Linked DNA regions of Struthio camelus. Each later gene encodes a partner of the first gene's protein in a complex. Links are inferred from orthologs where the notes say so. Each region holds a gene or a part of one and is shown in the gene's direction. Other genes may lie near its edges.

Region 1 (7,684 bases):
GTTTCTTCATGTTTCTTGCCCAACAGTGCTTTCATGGTTTTCCAAGAAAATGAACACTGAAGATTAATATTAGACATAATAGAAATAAAAAGCACAACTGACCAAAGCAAAATGATAGATAATGTCTATTTTTGGCTAAGTTAAGCTTGCTTTCTACTGCCATGTTAGATACCAACTTATTCCTTAAAGATCTGTTCAAGGCAGTAAGCTACTTCACAAGTCCAAGTGTCTGGATGGCACAAGAGCAAAATATGTACTAAAACTCTCATCAGTGAAGGCTTTTCTGGGAGACTGATAGTAGTATCTAGTAACAAATCAGTAGTAATCCTCTCTTTTTTCCACACATTGATGCTACTGATACAGTAAAGCACTGGATCCATTAAGAGGCTGAAGCTTATCACACATATACATGAAAGATGTACACAAAAGAACATCTTACAGAGCCTTTAAGGAGGAGCATTGTGCCTTACGCGTTCATATCCTCTATTTAGTCACAGGACTTTGTCCGTTTCTTGCCGAGTATAACGTTGTAAGTAGGAGAGAGAAAGTCACAAAGCAGAAATATTCTACAATTGTCTATGTTACAGGCTGCGGACTTGGGAATAGCTAAATAAATAAAGAAGTACATTTCATCCAAAAACGCAGCTCATATCTTGCATCTTGCAGTTTTAGTCACCTGTGTTAATGACTACTTGCATGAGGAAAAACTGGCAAGATTAGCAACTTCTAATAGGAAATGAGTTTTATCTGTTGAATAATGAAAGGCAGTTCTTAAGAGTCCAAATAATTCCAAAATAATGTTATTCAGTTACACATAAAATCAATATCTTGTTTAAAGAAAAAAAAAATTTGAGGTCTTCTGCCCACTTCTTGGTGGTTAGTTTTCATTCCTGAATACCTTAGTCAGTAGCTATAAATCTAACAGTGGAGATAACAGCTAAGTAAATATAGAAGCATATAATTTGTTTGCTTACAGTCTGCAACATGATCTTAGTAGCTATTGTTTATTTTTTTTTTTTAGCCATGCTGAGAATTAAACAAGCTAGCAAAGAAAAATCACATCTCCACTGGTAGAGTATTTCTTGCTTGAAACTCTTCTGAGTCTGTTTTAGGTTTTCATTCCTTTGGTTTTGGATTGTGTCAGGCATAACAACAGTGCAAGCAATAAAATCATCAGGTTTTTTTCTGCAACAGAAAACAATTTTCTAAACTCATTGTAAGTATAATCCCAAGCATCCAGATCTCACTTTTTCCCATGTTGAGGATGGGGTAGTAATACCATATAGGGAGATAGGGCTACACTCTCAAACTGTCTAGACTGATTTGACTCTTGTGCTGTGAATTAAGCCTAGACAGCAATGACTCCACAGCTTCCGTTTCCAATTGGGGACTAAACTTGGAGGGAGAGGAGCAGGACACTCATTGCTGAGTCAGGAAAGTAACAGGCTTTATTACCTTTCTAAACTCCAATGGAAGTAGAAAGGAGGTATGCATGAAATAGCTTTTGAAAAAGAACGTGTCTTCTTAAAGAGAGGAAATGGTTTGAAGATAGTTATTCTACCCCTAGGGATGACGACTTCTGATTCTATGTAATGTCTGAATTATTGCTCTAGCCTGTCCTTTAGTGATTTGCTTTACTGACAATAAGAGGTGGCACTGCACAGCCAGTCCTTACTTCATTTCTAAAATTTATTGCTTGTTAAAATGGCTCGTGCCTTAAAAATACACGTATCCTTTACTTCTCAGATAACGCTGTGAAATGATATGACCAAGTGAGGAAAAGGAAGATTTATTTTCTTTAACTACTGACTCACTGATTAAAGTACACATGAAATACTCCATTCTTTATTTATTAGTGTGCATTTGCTAGCATTTGGGAACTTCTTAACCCATCTCAAGTGCTTTGATCAAGTTGGATAAAGTAGTAGTATAGCAGCTGAGAGAATAGAAGTAGTCAGTAAATAACAATAAAAGTTGAACTTATTAATGATTTTTACCTATCAAGATGCAACATAAAGTTAGGAAAACTAGCAACAAATCTCAAGGCAGTATAGGAACTCTCCTCCTAACTTTAATAGAATAATACATTTTCTTGAGATGGCTGCCTTAAATAATTACTACTGCCTGGGAGTAAGAACAAGTGACTGCAACACAAACTGCTGTTTATCAAGCTGTGGTATTACGTTAATACTTAACTGCAGACAGGAGAGCTGTGAGATGAATAAATGGAAATGTTTGGGTTCTTTTTCTTCCTTGTAAGACACGACATTGATGAAAAAGCTATATTAAAAAATAAGTATTTTGATGGAAAAATATGTATTATTTACTGTTTTTACATTGGAGTAACAAACAGTACAGCAGGGTTATGCAAGTCAGTGAACACTTTAACATAGCTTATCAGTTACACACGTAGAGTCTAGCTGGGAGGAAACAGTCCAGACATAAAGCAGTTTTAAATTATTTAAATTATTTAAAATTAAATTTAAACTCTAATAAAAAATCACAACCCACTTTAAATGAAAACCATGTATTTTGAAATCCTCTCCCACTTTCTATGCAGTATTACCAATATTTCCCCCGCCCCCAAATATTGGTAATTTTTCCAGGTGTACTTAATTTTTTTTTTTAGTATTTCAACAATAGGTAAGTAATAGTAGACTTGCCAAGAATCTATAGTGTACAATATTGCTACTTTATGTAGCAAGAATTCTTACATGTTTTGCATCCAGTTTGAAAACTTTTAAAGGTTGCCATTACTGAGCCACCTTCTCTTAGTCTATCATATTTTCTGTTGGCTTCAAGATTATTTAATTTAGGTTGTATATTAACATAAAATCTGACTTTATTAAGGTACAATGCTACTGAAGTTTTTGTTTTAAAGAAACTTTATTAATTTAGTGAAAAATAAAATGATCACCCAATATCAATGTTCAGCGAGGATCCATGGGGATCCTTTTAAGTATTGCTTTTTTCTTGTCTTTTTTTTTTTTTTTTTAAACTCATATGCCTAAATATCATGGTATTAGTGAATGTAGGCTGGTTGGACCTTACTAAATAAGGAAAGGAGGAAATATACTAATCCTGAAACGTGATTCATGAAGTAGTTGTTGATGAAGAAAGCACACTTCCCTCTTTTGTGAAAAGTCTTTAGGTCTCCTGTGAGGAATAACTCACTAAAATGAAAAGAAGAAAGGCAATGCTAAATGGACTTTTTTCAATGTTTTAATGTATTACTTTAATTGCATTGAATTAAGTCCATTATATTTTAAAAAAAAATCAGGAATACTTTATGAAATCATGTCTCTCTTGTTCAGTGGATTCATTAGCAGTTCTTTATAAACATTACGCTTAGTGTAGTAAGTTGCCTACTGGTAGTCTTGATTTTTTTTTTTTTATTTTCATTGAAAACTAACATTTTCAAAAAGTACCTTCCAATTTTGGTTGCTCCAAATCTTGTTAGCTTTGCCTGATGCACGTGATTTTTAGAGCTGCTGAGCATGCACAAGTCAACTTACAGTCAATTTAACAGATGTCAAACTCCTGTGATAGTGTGATCTCTTTGTAGAATATGAATCCAAAAGTTCCCCAGTGCTCCCTACATCAAGTTCAAAACTTTTGGGGGAGGCACACCCCTATTGTAGAAAGATGCTGTACCTTGAACTGGAGACTAACAGACACTGTGAGTATAAAAATGCACTTACCTTTGAGTAGTTCCACTCTTTAATGAACCAGACCGTGCCTTCAGGATTTTCTAGCTTCTTGCTCCAGCTATTGTTACACGAGAATTCACCATCTCTGTAAAAAGGTCTCTGCCCAATCTCTCCATGAGGTAACTTAGCACACCAAGCCATCAGCCCTCACCAGCTGCCAGTGTCAAGTTGGGATTCTAGCCATGATCGCATCTGCAATTGGAGGCCAGTTTTAAAATCATTAATTACAGATTCAGGTTTTTTCACATGAAGGGCAGTGGTTTGTTTGTAGGATGATTGGTTTCATAAGAAGGGAAATTGCTAGGAGAGTTGTTGGCTAGCGCTAGTCTTCTGAACAGCTTGGAAAATAGGTGTGTTTTCTAAGGCTTTTTCTTGTATAGCTTTGCGTTTTTTCCCATGCTTACTTTATCAGTGACGTTCTTTCAAGGTTCCCCGACCCTTAATGAATATGTATTGGATCCTTCTAACTTGTATTTAGGGTTTCAAACATTGTCTCCGTTTGTCAGTAGTTTCTTTACTTTTTATCACGTTCTCGTGAAAACAGCGAAACTGAAATCGTAGCCTTTCGGTGGGAATGGCGTGGAGCTAATCGCATACCAGCCGTTCTGTGTTTTCTGGATTAATTATTCTCGCTTTTCCAGGCCACCGAGCGGGCTGGGGCCCCGGGCCGCGCTTCGTGCCGGGCGCGGGCGCTGCGGGCCGGGGCCGGCGATTTTACCTCCTCCTTCCCCAAAACATTTCAAAGGCGCCTCAATAGCGCTTGACCTCTTTAAGGCCCAAGATCCAGCAGAAACTAAGCTCCAAAACTTACGTGGCTTAGGGAAACAAGCCGTTACAGGCCGAGTGCTTTTTCAAGATTTTTTCAAGTTTTTTCTTTTCTTTTTTCCTCCTTTCCCCCCCAAAGCGCCTCCCCCCGCTGCCCGGCAGCGGCGCGGCACCCGCGGGCGGGGCCGGCCGTGACGCCGCCGCTGGGCCCCGCCTCCGCCGGGCGCAGCGAGCTGGGCCGACGGGCGCGGGTCCGGCTGTCGCCCTCCCCTGCCCTGCCCTCCCCTCCGTTGCGCCGGGCCGGGCCGGGCCATGGCGCGGCTGTACCTGCTCGTGCTGCTGGGCCGCTGGCTGGCGCCGGGCAGCGCCTTCAACCTGGACGCGGATCATCCCGCCGTGTACTCGGGCCCCGAGGGCAGCTACTTCGGCTTCGCCGTGGACTTCTTCGCCCCGGACCCCTCCTCGTAAGTGCGCCGCCCGCGAGGGGCGCCGCGGCGGCGGCTCCCCGGCCCCAGGCCGCCCGCGGGGGGAGCGCGGGGCCCGGCCCGGCCCGGCCCAGGCGGCGGGGGGCGGCGGGAGCCGGCGCCCGGGGTCCGTGCGCGAAGCGGCGACGAGCGCCGTACGGGAAATCCGCGGAGCGGTGCGGAGCGGCGCGGCGCGGCCGGGGGCGTCCCGTGAGGGCCCCGGGCAGACCTGCTGTCCCGCTCCCGCGCTGCGCCTCGCACCGGGGCTGCCTCGGCCGCGCCGGGTCCGGGCAGCCCGCCCAGGCCTCGGCCGGAGGGGAAGTTCCCTAAAAATATCTCTTCCCCCCCCCCCGCCATGTGCTTCCTGAACATGTTGTAGCGTCGGGTTAAGCGGCGCTCCGAAGCGAAAGCTGCAGCGGCGGGTGCGCCCGCGCTGTCCCGCGGTCGGGTCGCTGAACTGTGAGGTCTGCCTCTTGCTGTGAGGGGCTCCTCTGGTGCCTGGATGCGGGCTGCTTTCAGGGCTAGGTTTTGCCACCTTTTTCCTCCTGCCCCATCTTAAGGAAGCACTTTACAGCTGGAAAAGCCTACTGGGTTTCGTCAGGCTGAGAGGATTTTCCATCTTGCTTCTGCCTTTTATTTTGTTTTTTTTTAAATCTTGTAGACTTTTAAAGCAAATTCTGTAGCTGTTGAGCAAGACTCCTTGCAGTACATCATCCAGCCTTGGTTGCGTTTCTTTGTTGCCTACAACGTTAGAGATCATCCTGCCTTGGCTTGTGTGTGTTGCAACATCTTTCTCTGCTGTCTTAATCCTGTAAATCCTGTTGTTTACAAACAAATTATTTTTGTTTCTTGCTTTATTTTTAATTCAGCATGTGTGGCTGCAGAGTTCCTAAGAGACTGGTAAACGCACATAGTAAACCCTCTTCCTTGGTTTCTAATAAGGAGTTATGTCACCCAGCTGTCGCTGACGTCACTGATTGGAATCTTTCCCCTATGTTATTAATAGCTATTGACCTCAAAGCGCATGGCTGCAAAAAAAATAGGACTTTTTGCAACTCTGAACACTAGAGTGTTTCAGATTGCCTGAGACACACACTGATATTTTCAAGGATGTTTTCTCTTTTTAATTTTAGATCTGAATAAAAGTTAATCTGTATCTCCTAAACTAAATTGTAGTACCATAGTTTATCTTATATTTATCCACACGATTAAAACAAAGCAGCTATGCAGCTTTTACAGGAGCAGGCTCTAATGGTGGTAAACGTTAAGTTTCAACATATGGAGACCGATTTTTTTTTTTTTTTTTTTTTGCTTACGGAAATAAATAAATAATTGTATGAAGCATCCTGCAGACACAGGCCCATGGCTCTTCCTGACTTATAAGAGAGGCAGCAAGTACGAAATGCAGACTGGAATACTTGAATCTCTCCTAAGCTATTGAAGGGCAGAGACAGGTAGTGATGGACAGCAAGTTAGAGAGATGTCTACAGTTGAATGTTTTGTAGAGAACTTGAGTGAACTGTTTTGCAGCATGATTAGCGAAAGACATTTATTAAAATCAGTCTTGTTACACGATTTCTGTCAAACTTGTGATGTGGGTTACTTGATTCCCACACCTTTGCTGTTGCTTTGAAGAATTGTGATTTATCACCTGTTCTTTACATGAAACAGTTAAAGAACAGCAGAAAGTAAATAAGTTTGGTCTGGCTAAAGCAGTCTGCATTGATTAGGCTTACAACAAATGAGTATTAGTAGTACCTGAAAGCTCATGCTTCTGTTTTATAATCTGTTTTGACCTACTGGATACCAAAATAAAGTATGTTTAGAAGTCCAATACGAAAGAACTTTTCTGGGAGTCAAAATGGTAGTATTGTATCAGGATACTATATAGTGCCTGGCAGACGACATAGCTATGAAACGACATGATTGAACTTGACTTTATAAAAACTAAAAAATATCTTTCGTATGTGCTGTACTCTAGAAGAATTGCATTTGATAATCTGTCTTTCTAGCATACAAGGATATGAAAATACATGATCTTCTTCACTGGCACACGGCGAAGCACTGGTGAACGATTATTCCTATAAATAAGTACACTCATATAACTAAAACTGCTGAGGATGTGAATATACTCCCAGTCTTGTGTGCAGCATGTTGGGCAGGTTGTTGTACCAAAACGTAGTCTTTGTATTCCCATAGGAATGACGACTATGTTCCCCTTCCCCAAAGTACCCAGACTAGGGACTTATTTGTACATAGCAAGCGTTCTTTCTAATATTACTGGCGCTTTATAAGCCCAATGGCAAAATCCACTCATGTCTTCCCTCCCCCCCCCTCCCCTTTCTCACCCCTTGGGAAAAGAGGTGACTGAATCTTTGGATTCATAAATCATAATGATTCCTTTTGTCTTAACCTTCACAAAGATTATCTTAAAGATTTAAAGTATATGATTAGAATGGAAATGAATTTTTTAAACTAATATTCAAACATATAAATATTCAGTAATCAAGAGTAAACTGGGAGGCAAGTCACCACCTGTCTGACAGGTTTTAATTACAGCAATTAATATGTTTCTTTCTTTGGCATTATATATATATGTGTGTGTGTGTGTATATATATATATATACACATATATTTGTATTTCTCTTATGACTAGAGAGAACGTTTTAACTAAGTTGATAACCACATTTCAAATTCTTGTTCTTAGAATCTAGATGGTTTATGAGTAGCAGCTTAGAGGAACAA
Region 2 (7,577 bases), about 11 Mb from region 1:
GCAGAGCTTCGTGGGGGCACCAAGGGGCCTCGGGCCACCACGCGGGGGGCTGGGGGACCCGCACGGTGCCACCATCCCGCCCCCAGAGAGCGATGCGCGAGTGCCAGGTGAACAGGGTCTTCCGGGGGCTTTCGTTTCTTCAACGACAGGGAGGGAAGAAGACCAATATTCTGCGTTTTTACTGTGGTAATGCGCCCCACGTGCTGGCAGCGAGGAAGGAGTTAACGCGGGGCCTCGTTGCCTCCCCACCTGTGCACCCATGGCCAAAAAGGCCCCTCTGGGCAGGGGCAGCTGTTGGTGGGAAATGGGGAAGGGTGGGGGTAGCTGAAGTGGCTGTTACCTTCCTGCCCAGGTCTGGTAGAGATGGGGTAGTTGTTTTGTTGCCCTTCATGGTAGAGGGGAAGCGGGGGGGTCTCTGGCTGGGGCGAGGGGCAGGTGGCCAGCTGCCCCACTGGGCCCACGTGCTGCCTGGCTGCAGCAGCTCATGGCACTGCTCTGAGGAAACCCCCTTTTGCTTCTTCTCAGGTCTTTCCACTCCTCTTCTACCTCCCTCCCTGATCCCAGGGTAGAGCCCTAAGCCCATCCGTGCCTTCTTTGTTTGCTTTTGCAATCCTTTCAGTGCTTTCCCCAGCCCTTCACCTCCAGCCCAGAGAAATGATATAATCTAGGTGTACTGGGACACTTCTGCTCTTTGTGCTCCATTTCCCAGTTAGTACCTTAGATGAGACCCTTATATGTTGGTCTTCCAACTCTCAACCTGTGGATACTGATCCTTCCTCGCCTGCTAGTAGCCTAAGCAAATTCTGCCTCCCTGCCGTTTCTGGCTTTGGCTCAGGTTTGTCTGGGATTCTTTTGTTGTTCATCCCCAAACTGTCGTGTTCTGCTTAGATGAAAGGGCCTAATTTAGGTCTGTTAATATGGACCTACAATACAGTTTATGGGGGGGGGAAAAAAACACCCCTGAAAAGGGCATGTGACCTGAGTAGAAAGCAAGTGTGGTAGAGGGGGAAGCACTGCCTCGTTATCCTAGAATGACCTAGTATTATAATAAATAGAAAACTTTTAATAATCAAAGTAGTTTCAACATGATTCTCTAAAGCAATGGACTAATTGTTCCAGTCTGGGAGAGAGATTATGCTATGTGTCCTTTGCTAGTAGGGCTCTTATTTCTTCCATCTGGTGTGAGGGAAGAAAGTGGTTGCTTAAATCACTATTGATATACAGCGTATGAATCGCAGTTTTGATTTTATGAACAGCCTCTGTCATGGCTCATGTGGACTGCCTCATGCTCATTGTACTAGGGAGATAGACACACTGTCACCATTCCTATAAATAGCCTGGTTGGTTATTAAAGAAAGACTAGTAGTGTTCCCTCTGGGAAGAATAGGACTTTTGAAAAATGGCATTTTAGACCAGTTTTCTTGAAACTTTCTACAGGAGACAGCATTTGGAGAGTAGAAAACTTACTAAAGAAAGACCATAATCAAGGAGTTAATCTCTGAAACACAGACACCAGGTGAATCTGGAGCATTTGGAGAGGAAAGCTAAGTTAGAAGGAGTAACACAGCAGTGTCCCTTTACAGAGGGGGCTCAGCTGCGGGGCTGGCAAGGGCAAGGCAGCTGACGCGGAGAAGAGAGACTCTCTGAGATCCAGCGGAAAGCTGAGCCGCAGCACAAGGACTGTTGTGAGCTTGAGGAGGTCTGCTCCACAGCTGGAGGATGCTCAAGTGTAGTGGGGAACATGAGGTAAGGCGACATTTTTTTTCCCCCTGTATTTATGTTGGAGCAAAGTGAGAAGTGATTGTGTAGAGAAACTCTTATGTTTGAACTGTCAACTGTTTAGCTGTTAGCTACATTAGCTGTATTAGCGATTAATCTTCTAAGTGCAGAAAGCACCTTCAGGTAAACACCAAGCAGCCTCAAGGCAGGTTCAGTAGGGATGGATGTTTTTAAGTTAGTGAATAGTCTGGGGATCACTATTTCTAAGGGAATAGGACATCTGGGCTATGGGTCCTCATTTCTGTAACTAAGTGTGCTAGAGAGACCAAAGAGAGCATATGTCCTGCTGGCTGCACAGTGACAAGAGTTTTATTGCACATACTGTGAGAGGTCTAATATAACATGGCATTGAATGGCAGATAATAAGGTTTGGTAAGTGTCTTCGCCTGACTAATAAAAGTAACAAATGCCAAGATATTTTGGGATTTTGCTTACAATGGACAACAGACAGAGAATTCAGACCCCACCTTCAGAAACCTGGGGAGACTGCAAGAGTGCTTTCAATTGACAAAAGCACCCTTTGTGCAAATCACGAGTCTGCATGTAAAACAAAAAGATTGCTTTATCAAAAGGAAAGGGATAGAGCATTAAATTCGGGGATGTGACTAACTTCTTCTGAATAGTGAGGAAAGCACCTCACCTGTCTGTTATCTTTCTGTGCACTTCCTCGGTTGTGGCTGGGGCCATCTGATGACTGTTTCCCTTCCACTCCCAGCACAGGGCGGTCTGCCTGCTGTCAGCAGTTAATGAAGTCACCCGCAAGACTCCATCCCCTAGGGAAAAACACTTCTACGAATAGGCCTGTTACTTATATCTCTGGTTGCAATGCTCTCAGCACTTCTCTTGCTATGCCACCATCTCTAGTGCTTACGCCGCAGTTGTTTTTCATTGCAGAGTTACTGCTATTCAGGATGGCGAAAGATGGCCGCCTTGCTCCTAGCAGAGTTGTAGAGCGCTTTGAATGCTTCTGTGTTGTTCCCTGATGACAGTTGCAGCTTCTGAGGTGCCACAGACTTACCAAAAACATGCAGAAAGTGAAGCAGCAATGAGTAATGGTATTGCAGCACTAACTTTTAATAATGGTCCACAGTGAACTTCATCATGAGATACTTCATCAACATGCAATATCCTATAATAAGGAGGAAAAAAAGGCTTTTTATGAGAACAAAATGTTTCCATCCTACTGAGACAGAAAGGGAAACTTAATCTGATGAGAAGTATTTAGAGAGCATCACCTATTTGCCCAGTGAGGCTTGCATGTCTAGTTATGATTAAGCTGTACTTGTACGGAATTGCATGTTGGTCTAGACAGAGCTGAGCTATAAAAGAAATAAAATCAGTAGAAATAAAGATAGATGAAGAATGATGAATCATGATGAAATGTTGTCCAAAGTATGGAAATGTAAAATCTTGAAAGTACTAACTACCATTTGTAGGTCGCTGTTTGTGCCAATAAAGGCATGGACTACTCAGTGCAGTAAACTTGTGTTTTTGTGACTGAGTTGTGTGGTTGAGATCTAACCCCAAATGATTTTACAACTGAACATCTTTGTAAGAAAATTTAACTGACAATACCAATAGACAATCAAAAGGAAAAGGAATAAGTAAAATGACGTTCAGTTTGAACATTACCTGTTTTCTCTTGGGGAGATGTTGGGGGGCAGCTCTTTTAAAAAGTGGGTTTCGATATATGTAGATTTTTTTAACCTGACTTTTAACAGACTTTCCCCCCATCAAACTGTCAAAATTTTAATTCTCAAAAAGCTATGATGATATCTTCAATAAAATGCCAATGTAGATTTCTATCCATCATCATCAAAATGTCTGCACAATTCCTACATGAGCAGAGTTAAAGTCGCTATCTCATATGAACCACTGTTCATGCGCCTCATCCTCCTACTTCTACAAAATCAAAAAAATAATAAAACTTGTTAGTCAGACTTTTCATTTCATATCAATTCTGGATGGCTGAGTAAGTTTGAATGATTCATATGAAAGTTTAATGTCAGCCTTTAATGTGTTCGGCCTGACACATGGTGTGTCTTATAATATTGATATATCTCATCAACCTAGCAATCTGCATCAGCTTGCTGAAACATGCCGTGAAAGGAAACTGATGTAGTAGTTCTGATCTGCTTCTCTATGAAAGCTTTAATTAAAACATTTACACTGTCTGTTAAGATTGAAGGGATTTGGGGAAACTCGTAAGATGCCTGTGCTGTCATTAACAACATTTCATTTTGAAAGTTTAGACAGAAATATGCCTCTTAAGTCACTGCTGTGACCTGGACAGCGTCTCAGTGGCATCCAAAACTTGTCTGACTTGCTATCTGGTATTTTATATATAAGAAAACACAGATTACTACTTTACTTTCCAATCTGCTTGCTAAGTGCTTTCTGCCAGTAACAACCAGAGCGGCTGCCGTGAATTCAGGGGTCCTGCAGAGCCTGAACTCTTGAACTCTCTGAAGAGCTCTTGCAGTGGTTCTCATCTGTCTGCCAGGGGTGCGGGCGAACACAGCTGAGCACACGTTTCTCTCCTAGGGTTCCTATTTCCCACTGCTGGTGCCCAGACAGCCTCAAGGCTGTGACAGTGTAAGCAGTGCTCCACGGTCTCCAGGCTTGTCGGCTGGGAGGTTAAGCCTGATCAAAATGAGGTTTCATTCACTGCTAGCTGCTCATGAAATGACACCCTGCAGTCTACCCAGGAACAGCACTACTAGGGTAACGTGTCCTGGCTGTGTCTGCAGAGGTGCCTTATTAAGGTCTGGCACAGACTGGGTTTTTTCCTCCCTTAGCAGAGCTGTCTAGAGGGTAGGACTGTGCATGGACCGTCCCTCTCCAGGACAGAAAACCTGCTGGTAAGAATGATCCTTACCATCGCCAGAAGCTGTTTCTTGCCCGCTTCAGTCCCACAGTGCTGTGCTAAAGGCAATTCATTCGATTCAGTAGAAATGGATGTTAAAATCAAAGCCAACAACTTAGTCAGCTGTTTAAAATCAGCTTCAGTAAACTTTGCTCCCTCTCTGATCTTTTCCTGACTTCCTCATCCTCTGTGCTTGGCTTTCCTCCCTGAAGGCATTCAGGCTCAGATTTGGAAATCCCCTGTTCCCAGCACTGAGCTGTTATTTTTCTGGCAATATTTACCTGCTGTCCTTGTAGAATTGACTCAAGGCCTCTGTGGTGCCTGGGCTGTTATTCGGAGTATTAATAGAAATTATAAACAGAAAGAGGCTGACAGATATCTCCCACAAGAACTGCACTAAGGGATTTCTTAAGCCAGGAAGGCTCTCCAGGAGGAAGCTTGAGAGGCTGTATCTACGCTTAAGCCTGTACTGATTCTAGTTGCAATACAGGAGCAAGTTCTTCCAACAAACAATCTTCCTCAAAAATCCCTCTGACAATGAAGGAAAAAAAGTATCAGGATCATAAAACAAACAAAACAAAAATCCTATATACCATGAAGACTGTGAACTTAGAAGAATGTAAGCAAAAAGCCAAGTCTTGACAGATTTGTTAATACGTGATTTCAGAAGCACTAGCTAAATCAAACTGCCATCGCTCAACTCACAAACACAGCAAATGAAAACAAAATATGTTTTTTGAAGAACCAAGGGAGAAAATACGCATTATTATATATTCATATACTTTATAGTCATATAAAAGTGGTAGGAATAAATCAGATGGTAACACATGAGAATATAAATATCATTTGTGTGTCAAGTAAAAAGGCTGTATTACTCCGAGTGAGCGAACTGATGGTAAAGGATACTTGGTAAAAATGAATGTTTTTCTCAGTAATGTGATTGATTTTGTGCGTGAATCCTGGGTAGTTGTATGCCTGCCAGTTTTAAAAATCCTATCACAGTCCAAATAAAGGACCAAAAAGGTTTATTTGCTTTTGTATATTGTTTTAAACCATAAATATTGAGAACTTTCACAAAATGAGAAAGAAAAATGATGACCTCATCAGATCATGATAAATGTGTACTTTGTACAAGACGTTACTAGCATATTCAGTCCTCTGCTGGACTATTACATAGCTCTGCTTGAAATCATTATCATGACTGACTTATAAGTCGTGCACTCATCTCCTTTGGTCTAATATGGCGCAGGCAGAAAAGGGCATTTGTGCTTGTCCTACATGCAGGGAAATTCATGCACTGTGCGAGAGCATACCTCGCTTTGAATTTGAGAAAGATGGCTTAAAAAAATTATTTAACAAACCATATTGTTAACTTATATTGTTGCTTATATTTTGTCCAGATTTGTTCTGTGTAGCAGTAGGCACCCGAGGGGCCCAAGTCTGGAGCCAGTTTTGCCCTTGGCTCTGCCTATAGTAAACACAGACAGAGACACCTCCAGTATATGAGGTGTTTAGTGTGTTTAGTGTTCCCTGAAGGGTTTGCTTACAACGACATGCATGGTCCTCTGGAGCGATCAGCGTTTAACCTGTCTGAATTTGTCCTTGATCTCTCCTGTTGTGTGCCCTCACAAGTTCCCCAGCACAGCTATTGTTCTCTGATTTATAAGGGCATTCAGATACCTGTTCCAAATCACTGTTAACCCAGATGTCATCCAGCCTTTTTGCTGGCAGCAGAATACAGGCTTTGCACACCTTCTCCTGCAGACTCTATTAGCTAGTAATGAATGGTGGTATCTTCTTCTGTTTTTTAGTACTGCCAGATACAAAGTGTCAATGGCTTTGAAATTAACCAATTTGGGTTGGGGGGGTGTTATCCACAGCAATGTGTGTTTTACCTGTTTACGAGTACGCATTGCCAGAGCAATGTCCAGGCCCATAGCGTTGCTGAAGTAGCATACTAAAAAAGCAGATTTTATGATAACATTGTTATTTTTCTCCACAGTTACTCCTGAATCATTCTTATGAACCAGGCATGGTCACCTGTTCTAGTTGTGAATCGGTTCTTCAGGTACTAAAGCTATGTAGACGTTTCTAATGCTTTCATTCTTCATGAATAAATGCCATGTCCCTCTTCGGGAACAAATTATATCACTGGCTGCTAGACTTTGTCAATGAGGCTTCTTGTGCCATTGAGCAATCCATGCGCAGAACTGTACTTCTAATATTTCTTTTTCTCCTGTCTCACATGGTAATTGTTAGCTTGAACAATATTATGTTCACTAACCTCTTTACCCTCATTTTTGTTTTCCACATAGTTTTAAAATAGTGTAGTTACCTTATGGTGGTTAGACATTCAAGTGTCTCACCTGATTAGGGTGAGCAGGATCTTGCACCAACTTAGGGAAGCTCATCCACCAGACCAGTAACACACTAGAAATCAAAAGCAAGAACAAGGTTGCAAAGAATCACATCATAATTGACTGAAGTATAATGAATAACTGACAACTATGACTCAATGTCTGCATTTCTTCCCTAACAGAACACTTCATTGTATGCTGGCTTTGAATAGGTTTTCACATAGTTTCAGTTAATGATTAACTCAAAGTGACTAAACTACCTCCAGGAGAACTGATGACACATCTCATAAACAATTACTCAAGTTCAAAAGTATATTCAAGATTTCACTTTACCTATTTCATTCAAAAATATTTTTCTCTAAACTGAAACTATTTTAAATCTGCCTTATATATGTAAAGTCAGCAGCACTATTATAGCATAATTTCAAGCCAAAAAGATTGTATTCGAGGCAAATAGAGACACAGTATGTGCATGCATTTTCATTATTTATTCCATTTATAAAACAGAAGGCATTTTAATGTCTGTGGAAATGCAGTCATTTCTTGGCTGAAGCAACTTTTTATCAGCTCGCATT
Region 3 (7,169 bases), on another chromosome or scaffold:
TACTGGGTAAAAAAAGAACCCAAACTACAGCAAATATATGTGTGACAGAGTCAGGAGATCCTTTTATTCAGTTATATAGCAAAGAAAGCAGAATTTGTACGTTAATGTCAGTGGAATCAAGTGAACCTCCCAAATCCAAAACAATTACCATATTCCAAAAAGATTGTGCATTATTAAATGAAAAATAGTAGTTCAAAGTGAGGTTTCATAGAAATGTGAAAAAGTTGGAGGAAAGTGCAATTAATTTAAGTATACCAAAATGGTGTCTATGGTGATTTTAATAGTGCATAACATGCCACGATAATGTAAGAAATCACATGACATACTAATGAACACATAATACAATTTTCATTTAAAAAAAAAAGTTTTGATATTAGAAGTTGTAAAACACCATCACTCTTCCCTTTGCAATGTTGGTTTGGATTCTCCCCCAGGAAATGGCACATCAAAGATCGCTGGAATTACTCAGCCAAAAAAGGAACATGGTTTTGTAAAAAATGTTTCGGGTTTTTTGACCACCTCTAATGCATATTCACTGTAGATGCAAAATTTTCAGAACTAGTTCCAGAAAAGAGAGGCTATTCTCCAATGCTTTGATACATTGTTAATTTTATTTCGTTTGTAGTAAAGCAAATGTAAATACTGACTGGAAAGAAAGCACAATGATATATAACACTTTAAGTAATTAAGTATACATGAAGAATAAGAGCAAAGCATTACTCACTTTTAACTACACAAATTCATAGAACAACTTCTGTTGAAATAAACCTCTAAAGACCTTTGCTCAAAACAGATCCAGTTAGATCACCTTGCTCAGGGATTTGTCCGACTGAGTTTAGAATAACTCAAAGATGGCGATTCCACAATTGCATTACTTCATGCATTCATGGCCCAGTGCAGTGGTCTTAAATTCCTTGTTGTAAGTGTGACCTTAGATGATTCAGTTTCTCCATTTGTAAAATTAGAATAATTAATCAATTTGTAAAGCAATAATATACTCTATATTTCAAAGAATTTATACTATTGCTTTACTAACGCTATCTAACCAGCAATTTATTTAAAGATGCCATCACTGCAGGATAAATAAATACTTTTATATCTTTGGTTTCCACCACAGGAAGAAAGAAGCTAAAGAAGTAGGCAGGAGCTGCATTTTATACCAACAAACAGTTGGAGTTTGAACAGTTGAAGCGGCCTTAACTGGTACAGGCTGCAGCTATTGGCACCTTCAGCTCCTGGCTTCTTTTTTACTCCTGATGCTGGTGACATTTAGTATGCAGGACTTACCCATTTTTTTATGTTCTCGGCATTTAAATTAATGACTACAGTATGTTAATTTGGTTTACATCTGTCTCAGATTTTATATGAAAATTATTCTTTTTTCTCTTCCATTTTAGAATATAGGTATCTGTAGTCTGTTCAGAACGCCAAATTCTTGGACACCATTCTCATAAGGAACAGTATGTGCATTTCCTATTTCTGTAGTGAATAGCCTCTGCTTAGAAATTCACAAGATAATTCATGCTGTGGAGGACAGAGATATTTTCGCTATGTTGCTTATGATAATTTCAATTCTGATCTGATAAAGAGGTAAGCAAAAATTCCAAAGTAGAGAAATCTCGTTTTCTGCAGCTTTTGCTTCTGCTGTTTTTTTTTAAAGATATTTCCTTGAATTTATTTATGTCTCATAGTGATCCCATTTTTCCACATATGCTTGAACTGCCATGAATTTGCAATGTCATGACACAGGATTTATACATTACACTGTTAAATCAGAGTGAATTGAGTTTATCTCACCTGCCACAAATGTGTCTCATTTCAAAGAATATCATTCATTTTAATTCCCATGGTATCCCTACAGGCATGGTAGCTTACCACTGACATAGTTTAAATTGTGATCTCTGAAATCATGGCGTTCTTTGGAGAAGAATGGCATAGTATTTGAAGTCATACAGATGCTACCCTTTTATGTTAGCATCATTATATATGGCTTTGTCACATATGGTATCCCCATTTAGACACTGGCAGCTTGAGGAATGACACTCAAGACAAATGTCCTAAATGGGGGGATTTTTCCAAGACAAAGCAGAAGAATTATGTGGTGTTCAAAAACTCCAAGAGTAGGAGTACAGAACTGTTCCATTGCTATCTCTTCCTCAACGACCTTCAACAAACCCAATGTACCTTCAGTTTCAGCCCTGTAACACGAAGATAACAAACCACCCTTTACTTAGTACAGTGAGGCTTCAGCACATGATTTGGAAATGCTCTGACAACCTTACATTCCCCAAGACTTGTGAAACAGCACGGTATTTATGCTGGCTGCGTTTGAATGTTTTATTAATGATGTACACCTCAGAGCCAGACTGCGATGCCGTGTGGAGATACTGTTTTGGGATACGGCGAGCACCAGCATCTGTTCAGTCCCACCAAAACGGAAGTGATGGTCCTGGGCCACTGTCACCAGCACCGTGCTCGACCCGCAGGCCCGGGGGCGCTCGGCCTGGCGTACCTGCACCCGCGGCCCCGTCCGGGGGGCTTGTGACCCCGCCAGAGCGAAGCGGAGGGATGGCAGTTTGACAGATCACCTTTCACAGGTGTGCGTCACCTGCCTCGAAAATGTCACACTGCGCCTTCTCCAGCAAACGGTGCCCACCGCGCCGGGAGCTGAGCCCCGAAGGGGAAAACAATGAAGTAGCAGGAATGTAAAGAGCAGGGACCAGCAGCCCTGGGCCTCCTTGCGCCGGGCTGCGACTCAGGGCAGCGCGGAAGAACGCACCTAGGGACCGGCAGGGAGTTTCCCCCCTCTCCACCGTGCACTTCAAGGCGAGGTACTTTCCACTCAGCCCTGGGCACGATTAACCTTTGAGTTACTCTCACTTTGCCCGAAGGGGCGGAAACTCCGAGCAGAAATTACTCGGGGAGGGTGAGAGGAGCGATAAAAGGTGGGAAGGGCAGCAAGTTATTCCGTTGTTGTTGTTGTTGTTGTTTTAAGTAGCTGGTGGTGAAAGCGGACAACCGGCGCCGGGGGGGGGGGGGGTGCGCCAGGGGAAGATCTACCGGCGGGGGCCGGGCAGGGGAGCGGACAGGTCTGAGGCAGGGGAGAGCGCGGGGGCAGCAAGGGCGAGAGGCCCCCACAAACGCCCCGCGCAGGCCTCACACGCAGGGAGGGCGGCGGGCGCCGGCAAGGCGGAGACCGCTGACAGGCCGCCCCACGCCACCACACGGGGCGAGGCGGCGGCGGGGCGGCGGGGGGGAGCCGCGCCGCGCCGCCGCCCTCGCCCCCCCCACCCCCACCCCGCGGAGACCGTTGGCCGCGGCGCGGGCCGGCGGCTGCCGAACAAAGAGGCTCGGGCGGACGCAGTGACTTCATCGCCGGGCCCGGCCCCGCCTCCCTTCCCCCCTTACCCCCCCCCCCGGCGGCCGGGCCCCGGCGTGGAACCTGCCCCGCTGCCGTCTCCTAGCAACGGGGGGACCCGCGGCCCGGGGCGCACCGGCGGCGGCGGCGGGGCCCGGCGGGCGGCTCGGGCGGGAGCGCCGGCTCAGCGCGGCCGGCTGCGCACGGGAGCCTCCCCCGGCCCGCGGCGGCGAGAAGGGGGCCCGGCCGCGGCTCGGGGCGCGACGACGGGCAGCGGGCGCCGCCCCGGCCCTGGCAGCGCCCACCTGGCGGGGCGGCGCGGGGCCCCGGCGGGGCTGCGCGGCGGCGGCGGCGGCGGGGTGGCAGCGCGGGGAGGGCGGGGACAGCGGCCGAGCGGCGGTTGTTTTCGGTAGGGAGGTGCGGGGAGGGCGGCCGCGCTCCTGCCGCTTCTCCCCGCGCGGTGCCAAGAGCCTCCCCGCGGCCGGGCAGGGGGGCGGACAAAAGCCCGTTGTGTGCCGGGCTGGAGGCGGATGGAGGGAGCCGCTCGCCGCGCTCGGCCGGGGCCCCGCCGCCGCCGCCACCGCCGCCGCCGCCGGCGGGCCGCCCCTTGCGGAGCGCGGGGGGGCGGCGGGCGCTGCCCCTGAGATGCGGCGCCCCGCGCCCGCCCTGCCGCCGCCGCTGCCGCCCCGCGCCCTACCTGTGCCGGGCCCGCCGCCGCCGCCGCCCCTCCCCCGGCCCCGCCGCCGCCGCCGCCCCCGCGGGGGACGGGACTGAGCGCGCCGCGCCGCCGAGACGCGGCCACGACGAGAGGGCGAGGGAGCGGGAGCGGGAGCCGGAGAGGTGCCGCCCGCGCCGCATGATGTGGGTGCCGCTGCTGGCGTGTCTCGCCGCGGGGATCGTCTCCGTGCAGAAGTGCCAGCGCGGCCCCGGCCCCCTCCTCGGGGCGGCCCGGCTGCTGGCGGCCGCGCCGGGACTCTGCCAGCGCCGTAAGTTGCCGTGTGCGCCCGGGGCTGCGCGCCGCCTCCCGCGGGGTGCGGGCGGGGTGCGGGCGGCTGCCGCGGGGCGGGCAGCGGGCTCGGAGCTCCCCTGGCGCCGCTGACAGCGGCCGGAGGCGCCGGCGCAGCGGCCCCGTCGGCTGCGGGGCCGGGCCAGGTGCGCCCGGAGCGCTACCTGCCGCGGAAGCGGCCGCCGCAAAAGGCAGGGCTCGCTCGGAGTCCGCCTGCGCCCCGGAGAGCGTAGCCGTGACTTCTGGCTGCTTTCGTGCGGCTGGTGCAAGCGATTTAACCCAAGGGTGTTCAACTTTTTTTGGAGCCTTAAGGGGCTTCCCGCGAGGAGAGGGAGCTCTGCGGGCGCTGGGGACCCCTGCCTTACCCCGCTGCCCTCTGCAAACCTCCTAGCTGCGGCACGCAGACCCCCGGCGGTCACCAGCTGCGGATGGGCAGTTCTTAGGGATGAAAACACTCATTTTTACATCACTTACACGGTGCTTAGTGCTGAGGTTTAGAACGGGGAGAATTAGGGGAAGATTGTTTGCTCTTTCCCTTTACCCTCTCAAAATGGGATAACGTGTGTTGACAGTTCCCTGGTAGATGTTGTACTGGCGGTGACAAGCCCTGAGGTTATAGCAGATAAAAGCTCAAACTGTGAAAGAACTTCTTAAACTATCCTTGCCCTCAGTGTGGATTTTCATGCACGCACTCTGAGAGGAGTTCTTGCAAATGTACCTCAGATCCTGCAACAGTGTGTCAGCCACATCTGTTGATCCATTGTCGTACTACTCAAGTATTTCATAAACAGTCTTATTAACTAGTGGTGATCAGAAATGCAGATCAAGTTGTTAATCACCTTTCCCCCTTTTTTCTTTTTTTTTCTTTTTTCTTTTTTTTTTTCTCCTGTGTGGAGTAAATACATATTCCAAGTTTAAGCCTGGAGTTATTTTAAAATGTTAAGTTGTAACCTCTAAGATTTATAATGGGAACAATGTATTAGTCGTAAGTTCCTTAATGCATATGTGACAGGTTTGTGTCTAATTCAGCCAGATTTGCCCAATGCTGTTAAGTAACAACAGAATGATTTGTCAGCTTTTGTAACATAATTTATTTTGCTTTTTTGGCTTCATATTTTGAGTTCAAAACCAAAGTAAATGTCAATAGGAAAAATAAAATGTACTATTATTAAATTTCTTACGAAACAGGACATCTAGTATTTAGTATTCCAGATTATTTTCTATGCAATGTAATTTTGTTTGAAGGCTAATGGAAACTTATGGAGAAGGCAATTTTGTGCCTCAGTGCAATGTGTCCTTGCTCGTAACTGTAGCTCCTGGGTAGTACATAGTACAACAAATGCGGTTCTCGTTCACAGTACAAATAGTATTCTGTCCTGTGAGAACAGAGTAACATAGGTGAGGATCATTCACAGTGCTTTTGCTCCAGAAAGGTGCTTTCTCCCTTTGCTGTGCTTGATAGTGAAGATAAGCATGAATGATGTGCCGTGGGTTCCAGCAGCTCCTGTGTCAGCAGACAGTTTGTAACTCAAAGAGACCTTGTTTTTCTCCTCTTTATTTGAAACCTCTTCTAATTCATGAAAGCTGAAAGTCACACTGAATTCTTTCCTTCATACATAATCACTTTACGGGCTAGAGCCATACTTGAAGCAAGAAGATTGTTTTGCTTTGTTTCCTTGAATGAACACATGAATAATGTTTTGGAGGGAGTTTTTTTGTTTGTTTGTCTGGGCTTTTGGTTGTTTTGGTTTTTTTTGGGGGGGGGGGTGCTGTTTGCATTAGCTCTATGAGCCAGTGCAGCACACCTGAATTCTTTGAAGGTTGCTCTTACAGAGGCTCCAGGCAGCAGCTCCTTGTATAGCTATTTGGTACGCAGCCTTGTTTCAACACTTTTTTCTGCCTTGACATACTTCAGTGTTGGGCATGGCAGAGCATCATGCTTCTTCCATGTGCCATCAGCAAGTTCAGTTAATTTATCTGCAGAGCTGGCAGTACATGTGTATCTGCTGCAATGAATCTCTTTAAGGAAAAAATAAATGTGAATAAATATGAAGTTACATGGGACATTCAGGCATTCTTGCTGGGGCATTTATTGCTCTTCTTTTTGAAAAATGCATTGTTTGATTCTACCTGCCTGAGTTATTTGCATTGCAGACTGCAGTTTGAGATATGAGTTTCAAGTTGAGAGGAGTACAAAAGGAAACCTCATAACACTGTAAAGTTGCAAGTCCCAAATTAAATGTTCTGTAAGCTCAGATAAAAGGTTAGTATTGCAGCCTTCTACAAAGGCTCCCTTGTTCAGTCTTACCATAGGAAATTTGCAGCTTACTAAGCCAACTAAAACAAATACCTGACATAAGAATGGAACTACTTCAAAATTAAATTTGCCTCATAGTGATTTAGGCAGATCCCAGATTTATTATGGAATACTAAAAAGTGAACAACTAAATAAGTAAACTGATGAGGTGAATAGAAGCTGAATTTTGCAGTGAGACCATGTATATGTATTCTGTTGATCCGTTGTGTAACTATTGACTTCGGTGGAGAAAGTCAGTTCACTTGGCTTGTTCAGAAACTAAACAGATAAAATTCTTTAGTTTTTATCTGCTATGTAAGCATGTGAAATATCTAAGACTAAAATACTATGGAATAATTAACTGGTCAAGATTAAAATAAAACACAGGTACAAATCTGAGCAATGCCTCAAAAATGTTTTTGTGTATATTAAAATTTGAATAATAAGGTGTTTGGTGCTTTCACAGAATCACAGAATGGGTGAGGTTGGAAGGGACCTCTGGAGGTCAT

What was found.
Region 2: the proteins of ITGAV (region 1) and ITGB6 are in contact, whole or in part, in a crystal structure (PDB 9CZA), measured with the Homo sapiens proteins. The link is inferred for Struthio camelus from reciprocal best matches to the Homo sapiens genes ITGAV and ITGB6. Residues at the interface, in NP_002201.2 of Homo sapiens: Tyr48, Phe51, Lys72, Trp123, Leu141, His143, Gln150, Glu151, Arg152, Pro154, Asp178, Ala179, Phe184, Gln186, Phe189, Pro204, Tyr208, Trp209, Asp249, Tyr251, Tyr254, Pro274, Arg275, Arg278, Thr279, Met302, Ala303, Tyr305, Phe308, Pro328; in NP_000879.2 of Homo sapiens: Ser183, Pro184, Phe185, Lys187, Thr188, Thr189, Pro190, Ile236, Asp237, Thr238, Pro239, Asp273, Ser274, His275, Phe276, Gly277, Met278, Asp279, Lys281, Leu282, Ala283, Gly284, Val286, Pro288, Glu308, Thr311, Ile312, Gly313, Gln314, Ile316.
Region 3: the proteins of ITGAV (region 1) and ITGB8 are in contact, whole or in part, in a cryo-EM structure (PDB 8TCF), measured with the Homo sapiens proteins. The link is inferred for Struthio camelus from reciprocal best matches to the Homo sapiens genes ITGAV and ITGB8. Residues at the interface, in NP_002201.2 of Homo sapiens: Tyr48, Phe51, Trp123, Leu141, His143, Gln150, Glu151, Arg152, Pro154, Phe184, Gln186, Phe189, Pro204, Trp209, Asp249, Tyr251, Tyr254, Arg275, Arg278, Thr279, Gln301, Met302, Ala303, Tyr305, Phe308, Pro328, Leu329, Met331, Ser335, Asp336; in NP_002205.1 of Homo sapiens: Ser197, Pro198, Ile202, His203, Pro204, Arg206, Ile250, Asp251, Thr252, Pro253, Thr287, Ser288, His289, Leu290, Ala291, Leu292, Asp293, Lys295, Leu296, Gly298, Val300, Pro302, Glu321, Ser324, Leu325, Gly326, Gln327, Glu330, His349, Trp350.

Annotation. Positions count from the first base shown.
Region 1 is NC_090947.1:16,214,002-16,221,685, reverse strand, and holds the start of ITGAV (integrin alpha-V), read left to right. Parts: upstream 1-4,677; 5' UTR 4,678-4,787; coding exon 4,788-4,939; intron 4,940-7,684.
Region 2 is NC_090947.1:27,361,927-27,369,503, forward strand, and holds the start of ITGB6 (integrin beta-6), read left to right. Parts: upstream 1-4,576; 5' UTR 4,577-4,640; intron 4,641-6,647; 5' UTR 6,648-6,713; intron 6,714-7,577. UniProt on the Homo sapiens protein: Integrin alpha-V:beta-6 (ITGAV:ITGB6) is a receptor for fibronectin and cytotactin. It recognizes the sequence R-G-D in its ligands. Internalization of integrin alpha-V/beta-6 via clathrin-mediated endocytosis promotes carcinoma cell invasion.
Region 3 is NC_090943.1:35,762,259-35,769,427, forward strand, and holds the start of ITGB8 (integrin beta-8), read left to right. Parts: upstream 1-4,132; 5' UTR 4,133-4,214; coding exon 4,215-4,344; intron 4,345-7,169. UniProt on the Homo sapiens protein: Integrin alpha-V:beta-8 (ITGAV:ITGB8) is a receptor for fibronectin. It recognizes the sequence R-G-D in its ligands.